Linked DNA regions of Drosophila melanogaster. Each later gene encodes a partner of the first gene's protein in a complex. Each region holds a gene or a part of one and is shown in the gene's direction. Other genes may lie near its edges.

Evidence for each region.
Region 2: the proteins of egr (region 1) and grnd are in contact, whole or in part, in a crystal structure (PDB 6ZT0), measured with the Drosophila melanogaster proteins. Residues at the interface, in NP_724878.2 of Drosophila melanogaster: Ser341 (codon at 7,365), His342 (codon at 7,368), Asp343 (codon at 7,371), Gln344 (codon at 7,374), Leu360 (codon at 7,422), Thr365 (codon at 7,437), Asn366 (codon at 7,440), Lys370 (codon at 7,452), Ile393 (codon at 7,521), His394 (codon at 7,524), Asn395 (codon at 7,527), Arg397 (codon at 7,533); in NP_001260538.1 of Drosophila melanogaster: Tyr48 (codon at 2,384), Val49 (codon at 2,387), Ala50 (codon at 2,390), Thr51 (codon at 2,393), His55 (codon at 2,405), His66 (codon at 2,438), Asn67 (codon at 2,441), Tyr68 (codon at 2,444), Asp69 (codon at 2,447), Phe71 (codon at 2,453), Leu72 (codon at 2,456).

What each region holds. Positions count from the first base shown.
Region 1 is NT_033778.4:10,076,347-10,084,367, forward strand, and holds egr (eiger), read left to right. Parts: upstream 1-2,019; 5' UTR 2,020-2,665; coding exon 2,666-2,836; intron 2,837-4,266; exon of another isoform or gene 4,267-4,348; intron 4,349-4,441; exon of another isoform or gene 4,442-4,578; intron 4,579-4,841; exon of another isoform or gene 4,842-4,979; intron 4,980-5,160; coding exon 5,161-5,286; intron 5,287-5,906; exon of another isoform or gene 5,907-5,976; intron 5,977-6,295; coding exon 6,296-6,621; intron 6,622-6,683; coding exon 6,684-6,788; intron 6,789-6,915; coding exon 6,916-6,980; intron 6,981-7,057; coding exon 7,058-7,147; intron 7,148-7,227; coding exon 7,228-7,592; 3' UTR 7,593-7,864; downstream 7,865-8,021.
Region 2 is NT_033779.5:18,483,726-18,488,526, forward strand, and holds grnd (grindelwald), read left to right. Parts: upstream 1-1,691; 5' UTR 1,692-2,242; coding exon 2,243-2,477; intron 2,478-2,900; coding exon 2,901-3,209; intron 3,210-3,291; coding exon 3,292-3,473; 3' UTR 3,474-4,296; downstream 4,297-4,801. Other genes in the region: CG10283 (uncharacterized protein), read right to left, coding at 169-244; kon (kon-tiki), read right to left, coding at 4,349-4,801. UniProt on the Drosophila melanogaster protein: Acts as a receptor for TNF-cytokine egr. Plays a role in activation of JNK signaling and is required for egr-induced apoptosis, including in wing imaginal discs during development. May also play an egr-independent role in cell proliferation.

The sequences.
Region 1 (8,021 bases):
CAAGCGTCGTTGGCGCTATTGCGGCGCATGTCTAATAAATATCATCGCCGATCGCGCGATAAACGACTAGCACATAAGGAATCCACAGTACGGTATATATGGGTCCGAACTCCCCAGTCTGATCCGATCCAAACAATGCCCAAGAGAAGCGCTACTTACTCAATGGGGGGAGAATATGTGTAATGGCATGACTGGGTGTCTGTACTGTAGCTAAGTCAATTGCCCGGCATTGACTTTGAAAAATCGCCTCGAGATCGTCTTGCTTCTTGGCCGTGCTCCATTAAGTGAGGCTGATGGTTAACCCTCTGTGCAAGCACGTGATATATCTAGATCTTACAATATCATGTACATCGACATACCAGCTCAATGCTGATATATGTACATATATGTTTGCACAGATCATTGAATCAGATTCATTAACACTGCATAAAACCAAAAAGGTCTCAGAGCTTAGATTGAAACAATTCGTCCGATTTATTCCATAATTAATTAAGCTTTTCACAACTGAATTTATATAAAACAAATGATGTAATACAAAAAAGTAAGATACAAAACACAAAAAAGTAATAGAAGCTTTTCAAAAACTATTGTATATACAAATGTACATACATATGTATATGTATATAATTTTAAATCATTGATTTACCATTTCCGAACATTGAAAATTATAAATAAAAATGTGGTCTTGCACAATGCGAAAACAGATAACGACTAATGGGTTAAGAAGTGCACCGGAAGCGTGTGCCATCCGATCCCCGCTCTTACGGCCTGAGCAGTTCTACCTGTGGTTACCTGTTTGTCGCAGACGATTAGAAACTAATTAGCTGACCAACGCCGACATTTGCATCTCTGCCGAATGACGACACTCTTGGGCGGATTTACGATACGGGTCTGTTTGGCAGCCGGTTCGGCAGACTAGTTGTCGCGACGGTGGCTGATCGGATCGGATCAGCATTAGGTTTATGGCTACCCCGCTACCCGTAATTAGAACCCGTACTTAGGCACGGCGCTGACAGACCCCGATCGTCGGTCTAAGTAATAATAAATACGATTTTAATGAAATGCTAAAAGTTCATTTGGCTTATCTATGGGTTTGTCAACGATCCGCCACTTTTCGGAACTCAATTAGCTGCGGCTCGGGAATCGAAGATCGGGGATCTGTTCCATGTCAGTGTCATGAAGGGAGCTCGAACAAAGCAGCCACACAAAGAAAATGAAGCGAAAACCCGGGGATGCGAAGCCAAGCCGCTTACAGTGGTGCCGATTTCAAAAAGCAATCGAGCAACCCCTATAAATCACAGGGGGAGGTTTTAAGTGCACATAACACATAAAAAGAAATAAAAGCAGTGGAAAACACTGCGCAAAAAGTCAAACACGCTTTGCTACTTATGATCGCCATATGTGCAAGGGAAATCGGAACCAAGTACAGTCTGTCTTGGCTAAAAACAACGATGAGATGGTCTTCAATATGGCATCCAATATTCTAAATTAGATACACTATTTTCTTCTCTTTTGATAAATGTTATTAAAGTTCGTTATTTGAGCATTTCAATTTGATATTGAAATTATGATAACATTGTTAAATTGTTAACAACTTTAGACTATATGAACTATTATTTAGTGTTATATCATATTATAAATCATATTTTTGTAAATATTTCTTATGCACACCATGATTATGAGTTTCATACAAATAATTTGTTATAATAAATAAAAATCGTATCTACATATACATATGTACATGTAAAATTGTAGAAATATAATAATTAATTTAATTCCTGTTAGCCAGAGCCCACTGTATCACCAAAACACCACCCCGGGAGAACCTTGCCAAAAATTAATTACACAAAGTAAACAGCGCAGGCGCCCTTAAGTATGCCGCGCATCCTCGCCACGTGAGCGAGGGAGACGGTGCCAATCCGTTGTCCCTCTTGCTCGCCTGCCTGCTCGAACGTGAGAAATCAAGTGCCGCTCGGTTCGTTTTCCCTCAGTTCACGCTCCCGTTCTCAGTTCAAATTCATTCTCTTTCGAATCGTCGACGCGAACGGACGTTTAAAGTGAGAAAAGAAACCGGTAAATCAGAGATCCCAAGCAAGCGCGTGCGTGCATGATAGCGAAGAAAAAAAGCTATCCGTTTCAGTTAACTACTTACCAAGATTGAATTTCGCCATCGGGCAAATTACTAAAAATACATAAGTGCAACTCGTCCACTGTGTGTTGTGTTTTTTTTTTTTTTTTTGGTTTTCGCTGTGCCTTTATCGCAAACAAGAACTGATAAAACTAGAAAATATCTTGAGAAACTTGTTTTCGCGCTTTTCTTTTGCTAATTGCCGATCGCGGAAGAGAAAAACAAGCAGTAGACAAAACAAGTGTGGTAATACAATCTGAAAAGGGCACCATCAGCAGCCCGAGGGGTTTATCTATATAGATGTCGCAGCTTATCATCTCATGCTGTCTGTGAGGTTGTTCTGTGTGCTCGTGTAGTATCTTAAATACATAGAGTGTGTTCATATAAAGTGCGACAAAGCTCGATTGGAAACAGCTGTCGAGTGCCCTTGAGTGGGTGGGCAAGATCGTCATCATCATCATCGTCGTCATTATCAACAGAATCAGCATCAGCATCTGGAGGCCCCGGTTGCTCTAAGATCCCCAGTGTTCATCAATTATGACTGCCGAGACCCTCAAGCCGTTTATAACGCCAACGAGTGCCAACGATGATGGTTTTCCGGCCAAAGCGACCAGCACGGCGACCGCCCAGCGACGCACCCGCCAGCTGATCCCCCTGGTTTTGGGGTTCATCGGTCTGGGGCTGGTCGTTGCCATTCTCGCACTAACGGTAAGTTTTCCTTCACAATCATTTACCCAATAGCAGCCCAATCAGGTATTATTGCCCATTTGGATCGACTATCGCGATTCTAAACACACCAATTAGACTCTGAACTGAATGAAATCGTACTACAAAATTTTCATTAAGATGCTATTAATTGATAACATTGCGTCTCTATCTGCCTACTTAAGATAACAAACCATGCTTAAAGATGTTTAATTAAGGTGGCACAAATCATACTTAGTATTGAAATAATTACAAATAAATAAATAGTATAACATATTTTATGTGTGTTTGAGCGTCGTACAATCTCTTCAGTCGCATTTTATGTTTTTAATGTTTTTTAGCACACTAAAATCGTCAAATGTGCTGAATAGATTTAGTTAATGAATATAATTTGAAAAAGATTAAAGTAGTCACCTCCAAATTGAAATAGCTATTCCATACTTGAATGCCTTTTTTTTTGTTTGTTGTGTGCGATTAATGATTCGTCGGAATTCCAAAGGTGTGGGTATATCAGTTATTGGTGGGAGTTTCCCCAGAATATAGATAGGAATGAGTTGTTATGGGCTATGTTGTTTAATGATATTTTGGGCGCCAAAGTGGGCCAATCATGATTATATGGCCGTTTTAATGACTGTTTCGAAACGAGTGTAAAGGTATTACACTGATTCTTAAACTAGACTTTTGTAGAATTTGTGTTTTATTGTGTTTTTAGTGTTTTATTTTGGTAGTTTAATTTATAATTTTGCTTAGTTATCTCTCCAAAAACCATCACAACGACAGTTAGTTTTATCTGGAAAACAGATTGCACCAATAAAGTAATGAAAGCATAAAAACAGAGAGATTCCATTCAGCCATGAACCGCCTTCTAGACTCTGAACAGACTCCTATTTTTCGGAAATGTTTATTTCAGTAGCTTGCCAAAATAAAATGCGAATAAATATAAATGCAAATTGGACTTTAACAACGTATGTGTATAGACACCCCCGAAATCGCAATCTAAAAATGAATATTTAACCTTTGGCACGCTTCGGCTTATAAAGCTGTTTGTCACAAAGTCTTTGTTGATGCCAAATTAAAGACGAAATTCCGCGGATGCATAAATTGAAATGAAAACAGACTTTATGATCCGTGACCGTCGCAGATAGGTTAACTATAATTTGGCATGAAACTATATTTAGAGCGGGAAAAACGGCGGTTTCTTGGCTGATCAAGCGATGTCATCACCGACACGTCTTTAGGCCAAATCGGTTCCTAATGATCCAGCTAATCCAAATAAAGCGGATGCAGATGCTAGAGAAATGTTTATCGGTACATGTCTGTTCTTCCCTTTTGTTTTTGTTCAACCGATTTAAATGCCACTGAGTCCGTTCTGTTATGCATTCGATAAATCTTCGACTGGGTTGTTGTGTCATGTTTTTCCCTGATAACTTTGCGAATGAGTGTGCTCGCTGAAATCCGGATTTGAATTGCAGAAGATTAAGTTTGTGGACTTGAATCTGGTCCTTCTCTCCCACCCCCATTTCCCCCCCCCTCACCCAGGACTCCTCCATGACCCACTCAACTTTGGCTTAAGTGAACGGAAATCGTACAATTGACAATTGACTTGTAAATGATTGGCTTCAGCCACTGACGTGGGCCTCAAGTTCGGTTTTCCTCATAAATCTCCGTTAAGCCATGAAGCATTTTTCGTTGTTTAATTCAATTTCACTGACATTCGTACAAAGTAACCCTCATCATTTGGGGCCCTCTAAGAAAGTGACAAACTGCAGGCGCTGCGATCGATCTACTGATCGCCGATAAGCTCTAATGGAAAGTGGTTCACTGGAAACTTAAACAAGTTTCTTGGGTCTGCGTAAAGTCCATAATTTATACAAGAATTCAGTACAAGTTGTTGTGTGTACCTACATGTATGTACATGTGTATATTTCCCCGTCTGCGCGTACAGTGGCTTAAGTTGAGCCATTCTTTTCGATTTCGGCTGCCAGTCGAGACTTGAGAAGTGTCCGTATATAAGGCCTCTGCTCGGCCCGAATGTTAATGATCCATTAAGCAGATTATGTGGCTGAGTGGCGATCGTACGTACCCCGCCGTATTTCCCCACGAAATCTTTCTCGTCTCGCCTCTATCAGTTTGTTCAGTTAGTTTTTATATATTTTTCGGGTGTCAAAAGTTCGCGGCACTGGGTGTTATATGATGTGCCGGGCCTTAGCACCAGCTATAGATGTTTAATTGGGGCTACGTTAAATTGATTGCCCAATTGCTAATGAGCGGATGATTAGAAACGAGCCTGAATGAGTGTGTAACAATTGAATTATCTTATCTTGCAGATCTGGCAGACAACGCGTGTATCGCATCTGGACAAGGAGCTGAAGAGCCTGAAGCGAGTCGTCGATAATCTCCAGCAGCGTTTGGGCATAAACTATCTGGACGAGTTCGACGAGTTCCAAAAGGAGGTGAGCAATTGCGTAAATCACTTTCGAGCATCAATATTTGTACTCGGCGATGGGGCAGGGGCTGTAACATTTGCCCCGGGCAAATACAGATACCTCGAATTGTTTACAAAGTCGGAAATGATTGTTATTCCTTGAGGCTGGTACTTGAGTTTTTAATGAGGGTATATCGAACTTTTGTTATTGAGTATCTATTATGTTTAGTTTTCTTTTTGCCTAAAGGGTAATTTGCATTTTATGATGGCAAACTCTGGCTAGGGTATCTCACAGTCGGTAAGCCATGCGCCTGTTTTTGAAAAAGAATGCCTCAAAAAAATGACCAGACGTAATATGTGGTTATTGTGTGGGACATACAAAAATATTTATAGAATTATGTGCTAAAATATAATTTCGACGCTGTTTCATCTGTTATTTGTTTCATTTTTTTTTGTTAGCTGCTTGGCCAAAGGCACATAGAAAATTGTGATAGATTATTTGAATTATAATGTCTCTTTCCGCAAGGAAACACTCATTTCAAATATGAGGCGCCAGCCAGTTCACGTAATTTATGAGATACAAATCCCCAAGTGACAAAAGGTAAAAGCCCCAATAATTCAACAAAAATACTAGGCTCTATCAGTAGATATAGTCGTTCAAGGCGAGCGATCGCTTTTGGCTGTATGTGACGATTGATCGAATCTCATCAAATGGCCTAATGGCCAGAGATGGTTTTAAGATTTTAAGATTTATTTATATTTTGATGGCTGGGCATCTGTGGTGCCAATTCTCTTGAGAGTTTCCTTCGCTTTTAAATATATGTATGATGTACACAAGTATATGTATACGAGTATCATGTTTTTGAGCGAGGCGCCATCAATTAGGATGATGACGAAACAGCCTGTGCTGCGGGCGTGTGTCTAAAAATGAACGTCCCAAATGGATGTGAGATATGTGCCAGGACTGTGCCAGCTGCAGTCACGTACTTGGCCAAGTCTTCTGACCCAAAATGCTGATGCCCATCCCTTCGTTGCAGTACGAGAATGCCCTCATCGACTATCCAAAAAAGGTGGATGGCCTCACGGATGAGGAGGACGACGACGATGGCGATGGTCTGGATTCCATTGCGGACGACGAGGACGACGACGTTAGCTATAGCTCTGTGGATGATGTTGGCGCAGACTACGAGGACTACACCGATATGTTAAATAAACTCAACAATGCACATACCGGCACCACGCCCACATCTGAGACCACTGCTGAGGGCGAGGGCGAGACGGACAGTGCATCCTCAGCCTCAAATGATGACAATGTGTTCGATGACTTTACCAGCTACAATGCCCACAAAAAGAAGCAGGAGAGGTGAGCACGGATGAAATTTTCAGGGATTTATCGTATTAAGCCTCTGCTTTTCCTCTTCACAGAAAATCTCGCTCGATTGCCGATGTACGCAATGAGGAGCAGAATATTCAAGGAAATCACACAGAGCTTCAGGAAAAGTCATCCAATGAGGCAACTTCCAAAGAGAGGTAAGTAGAACGTTCCGTTGAAAACAGGCAAGAAAAACCATTAATGAAGTTATATGCTATGGGTTAAAGATAGATAGTTAACTGCGTAACTGAAACACATATGTATACATTTTCTTTTTACTTGAAGCCCTGCACCACTTCACCACCGTCGCAGAATGCATTCCCGCCATCGCCACCTCCTAGTCCGCAAAGGTGTGTAGTGTAGAAAAGCGAAACAATTGGCAAAAATCGAATACCAAATCTCTATTCGCACCTCTGTTAATTTGCAGGTGAATCTCTTCTTTCAGCCAGATCCGAGGACTCGAGGCCAGCAGCCCATTTCCACTTGAGCAGCAGGCGGCGTCACCAAGGAAGTATGGGTAAGGAGATGCTTCCGCGTCAAGCGTGTACATACAAGTACTACAGGCAACCTAATGAAGTCACTTCTTGAATTTCTCAGGCTACCATGGAGATATGTACATAGGAAATGATAACGAGAGAAACTCTTATCAGGGACACTTTCAAACGCGCGATGGCGTCTTGACGGTGACCAATACAGGCCTATATTACGTATACGCCCAGATATGCTACAACAACTCGCACGACCAGAACGGATTTATCGTCTTTCAAGGAGACACTCCATTCCTGCAGTGCTTGAACACGGTGCCCACCAACATGCCACATAAGGTGCACACCTGCCACACGAGTGGTCTGATCCACCTGGAACGAAACGAGAGGATCCATCTGAAGGACATTCACAACGATCGCAATGCAGTTCTGCGGGAGGGAAACAACCGAAGCTACTTTGGCATCTTCAAGGTGTAAATTGGAGAGATTATCCCCGGTCAGAAGATGGAATACCAGTTTAAGCTTTTGTCCCCGCGACTGCTCGTGAATGCGATTCATCGCCAGCGTGAATCCATTAGTTCGTAGTACCTAGTCTTAGTCACTCCAAACCTAATCTCAATCGGAATCGTGCATACTGCATTAGTCAGAAGACGGAGGAAAATCATATTTATTTTGTATATACTCGTTCGACTCTAAAAAGTGAATAAAAATATATGTAGCTATTACCCGCTTGTGTAAGCGTGTTTAAGAAACATCAATTGAATCAATTGCTACCAGTTGCAATTGAAAATATTATAATCTTCTAAATAATGAATATTCGTTCTTAGTATAATTCGATTCAAAATGCTTCAAATGCTTTCAATTCAAATCTCAAATGAAGAGCCATTCAAAGATATCCCTCAGCTT
Region 2 (4,801 bases), on another chromosome or scaffold:
TCTATGTGGTGCTCATGCCCCCCCCGCCCCAATTCCAAAGCCCCTTCATCTCAATAGCTACACTCAAACCCAATCAATTTCCAATTATCCAAGGCCCCGTACGAAATTGTTCATGTTCAACCAATTTCGAAATGGTTTGCTTCGGTTCGGTTCTTAACCCATGCTTACCCTCATTAACATGTCCTGATCGGGGCAGCGCTTCCTTTGGTGGTGCGGCTGCTGTTGTGGTTGTGAAATTATTCATCTCTCTCCTCCTCTCGCCACCCTTCTCTTTCTAACAGGCTCTGGCTGTCTCTTTCGGTGGCTCAAATCTCTATAGAATATCTGTATCTCGTTCTAAAACAGGTGTTTAAATTGGGTAGCTCAAGGACGCGCCTTCCACTCCACTGATTTTTAATTTATGTTGGTTTACTTGTTGAAGCGGGCTGGCAAAATAGATACATAGATGCGGCGATACAGAGCGTGAGTAAACTATATTTTCATCTAATTGCGTCGCTCTCGGTGCAACTATTTCACTTTCACACTTCCACACGAGATATAATGCTTATAATTCCACAATTTCCACCATCAACACGCGCGCAACAACGACAGCTGCAATTCAAAATTCGATTTGATTTAGGTATTGTATCCCAAAGATACGCAACGAACCGGCGGCCGTCGTTCCACGAAAGCAGCAAAACAGCTCATTCAACAGCGAAAGCCGCTCAGCGAATGGATGTTGTTTGACTTGGCCATACAGTCCAGCTAACTGGAAGACACAATAATACTGCAAGCGGCGCTGGAACTGGAAGCCGATACAAATGTATCTCGAAAGCGGCACTGCAATGGAAGAGAGAATAAGAGAGAGGAGAGAGAATAACTCAAAACAGTGCTGCCAAGTTTCAAAAAGATTTCAAATCTAAATACAAAAAGTTATAATTTTACTATTGATTTATAAATTCATTAAACGGTATATATGTACATATGGTTTTTTATTATTATTTAATTTTCCAAAATGAGTTGGGAGCAACGAATTTCAGTATTTCTTTTATTTATGTATATGGCATTTGCTGTTTAGTAAAGACATACACCATTGCGTTAGCTAAGCGAGGTTTCAATCCTCAACAAATGCTACACTTAAAAAATTCCAAAATCATATTTAATTAGATAAAAATTGTGTAGCTAGAAACTTGTTTATAAATATCACGACTGCTAGTTAGTTGTGAAAGTAAGGTATTATAATTAAAATTTAAATAATAGGTAATGTTGTAAAAAAAACTTTAAACGTATAGTTCATATTGGGATACTGGGAATTTCAATAAAAGTTATCTTAAACATATTGTCGTTTATTCATATAAAACTTTATTATTATTTTAATTGATAACTTGGGTAATAAAGTGAGTGAGCAAGTAGTCTCTATAAAATACTTCTTGAGGCACTACCTTCTCGTTGTTATTTATTTTTATAAGTCAAATCGCAGCCGAAATTTAAGAAACTGAAGCCGGGTTCAAAGTATGCCGAAGTCGGGAGTATTTCACTCATAGCGCAAAATAAACAGTCGATCGCAGACACACAAATACTTGTATTACTTGCCACAGCATAGATATACAGATACTTTTGCATCTACAATCGACGTGAAAAAGGTAAACAAAAGTCAAGTCACGGTGCGAATGAGTGTGTATTTGAGATAGATGCCTCGGTGCGAGTGCTGAGTTGTTGGTAACAGCGAGCGATCGCGGCATTCCAGTCAGTAACGAGTTGAATGTGGCTCAAAACGCGTCGCTGAACGATGGCTAAAAACGTTTAAAGTTAAAAAGCGTATTAAATCATATAATATATAATATATTGGTGTAAAAAATACAGAATTAAACCTAATAATTAAGTGTCCGGACATCCCCTAGAAAAATGTGTGAAAATGTTGAGAAACTAACCGGAATACTATGAAAACTGCTGTAAAACTTGGCTAAGATAAACTCGTTTGCACCAATACACATGTGATTATACGTATAAGGGCAACGCAAAATACTCAGACTCCAGAAGCCAGCAATTAAAAAAGAAGTTAGTCAGTTAGCGTCTGGGCCGCGTTACTGGTGTATGAATCATACTTTGGATACGTTTAAAAATAACAAAACAAAAACCTTAAAACGAGGAAAAAGTTGTAACAGTGCTAATGTAAACTTCGATCAAACTTAGCGGAACGAGCTCGCTACAAAACCAAATACCCATAACAAGTAAATTAAGCACACATTATAAAATACCTCAAATGTCGGTCAGGAAGTTGAGTGCCCTATCGCTCTCCATTGGTGGAGTTCCGTTGATTCCAAGTGTTTCCTTGGTAGCTGCGGCCAATGGAGAGAGTAGGGATTGCCATGGCACGATCTGTCATCCGGTCAATGAATTTTGCTATGTTGCAACGGAGAGATGTCATCCGTGCATCGAGGTCTGCAATAATCAAACCCACAACTACGATGCGTTTCTGTGCGCCAAGGAATGTTCAGGCAAGTAGAATTCAAAGATTTCCAAAAGATTACCTCAGATTAACTCACGATCCATAGGGTAATTTGGCGGGTTCTATGCAAGTTCAGGTTTTTCCAGCTGGACTTAATTGTATTTCAATTACAGTTGCTTCAGCGGGTGATTAACTCATCACCCATGAGTTGACTAAAATAGGGGGTATTTTAAAGATTTAAAGAATGTACATTTTTATAATAAAAATGATTTGTTGAAACTAGCTTTATAATAATTTTTTTAGTGTAAAAGATTTGTAAAAGTTGTAATGGCAAGATAAGGCCAGTTGCATTTGCAATTTTTATCTGACTATGTACAACGAGTTATCAAAAACGTTCCCGTGTTTTATCAATTATTATTTACTTAAAACGATAATAGTAGCGATATTATTTAATTTCTTTATCAACCCACAGCTTACAAGACATTTGAGCCGTTAAAAGCCGAGATGCTGGACATCCAGAATACCCAGCAGCTGATCCTCTTGCTGCTGACTATCCTTCTCGTCCTGATTGCGCTTCGTTGCGCGTTTCAGTTCCTTCGATGGCTGATAGGCAATCGGTGCTTCCAGAAGCTGATGCGCCGTCTCCAATCGAAGGCCTACCCTCATCCGGCAACTGCAAATGGAAAGGATCTTAATGCTACCACCATACAGAATCTGAATGCCATTAACCATCCCGGCAGCGACCTTGAGCGGGCACAATCACAGATCTACAGTGTGGCAGGTAAGTGTAAGGATCTACCTGTCCGGGTTTTTCCAATAACACTTCCCAATGTACACATTATACCTGCAATGATTTATTACAGGTGCTGCCGAGGGTTCCGTTGTGACTATGACAACGCCGGTGAGCACTCGCTATCCGGCGGAAAACAGTACCACGCCCACAACGGTTATGACGGAGATCGGATACGGATACGATAATCAGGCCATGGTCGTAACGCCGGTTTCCGAGAAACCCTCAGCAGCGACGATTCCCGTCGCTTTCTAAGGCCATACAAGTACTTGAAAACTCTTACTTCTAAATCAGTCCAGCGAAAGCAAAATGTGCACCACATTAAAACTAGTGATATTTTTCATAGTTATTAAGCAAGAAGTCTTCTATCAATATGGAATATATACGCATATCTGTAGAATATAAACCTTAATTAATAGGTTTATATATGTTGGGACATATTTTTGATAACCCAATGTGGCCCTGAAAACTTATATTCGATCTGTATGAAATTATATGTAAAGGAACTTTTTTCTCTTTACTTTAATATTTTCCTTAAAGCAACGAAAATACTTACAACATCACAACTATGAACGAAGAGACATATTTATAACTGTTAAGAAATATATTTATAATGTTCAATTTATTATCATGTTAAGTTTTTTATGTGGAAAAGTTTTGTAAATGGTAATATGGGGGAAAACCAATTCATTCGCAATCACCACAAACGTTTCTCAACACACTTCCATCCGGTTAAAATAATTACGAATGCGAAATAAATCTTCCTGAAAATTTTTTGAGTTTTGAAATAAGACACGGGAACTACGCTTAAAAGTATTGTCATTTATTGTAAAAAGTATTCCACGTTGGCAAACACAATTCTAAGGCTAAGTTAAGTTGGCTTTTTGAGTATAACTCTTGTTCTCGTCCTTAATGCTAATCGTTTGTATATGACACGCCAGATATGTATGTGTGCTTGTTTCCAAACTATAATTAATGTTTTCGTATATAAAATGCTTCACTTTTCCTAACGAATCTCATAAATCAGCCTTAAACGTAAGCTTATATTTAAATAAATAACCTAGGACTAATTCCGATCGAATTGGAAACGCTTGTATTGATCCCTTTATTGCAGAACATCCTTCTAAACCTTACACCCAATACTGATTCCGCCTAAGTAGTGGATTTGTTGGCGGGGCCGAGGGCGGTGAGCTGACCGATCCGGAAATACTTTGTGGCACAGAGGCATAGCCAGCAAAATCATTCGCCATATCGCAGGACGAACTCCAGGCGTCGTGCTCCATGTGATAAGGATTATATCTCTGCGGCAGCATCATTTGCTGCGGATCGCACTGATCGTCCGTCTCCTCCTCATCGGGATCGTAGTCGGGATACTCATGTTTGTACGACTCCACGGGTATTATCTTGCAATGGGGAATATTGCTGAAACCCGGTAACGGTGTTGAATTTCCTGTGGCCGGCACGGAATCCGCCTCGGAACTTGCGTAATGGTGGCCATGATGATGGTGCAGATGGTGTTGCGGACTCACAGAAGTCAAGTCTGGTGGACACGGTAGCGCCGGCGGCTGATCCTTGGATATATC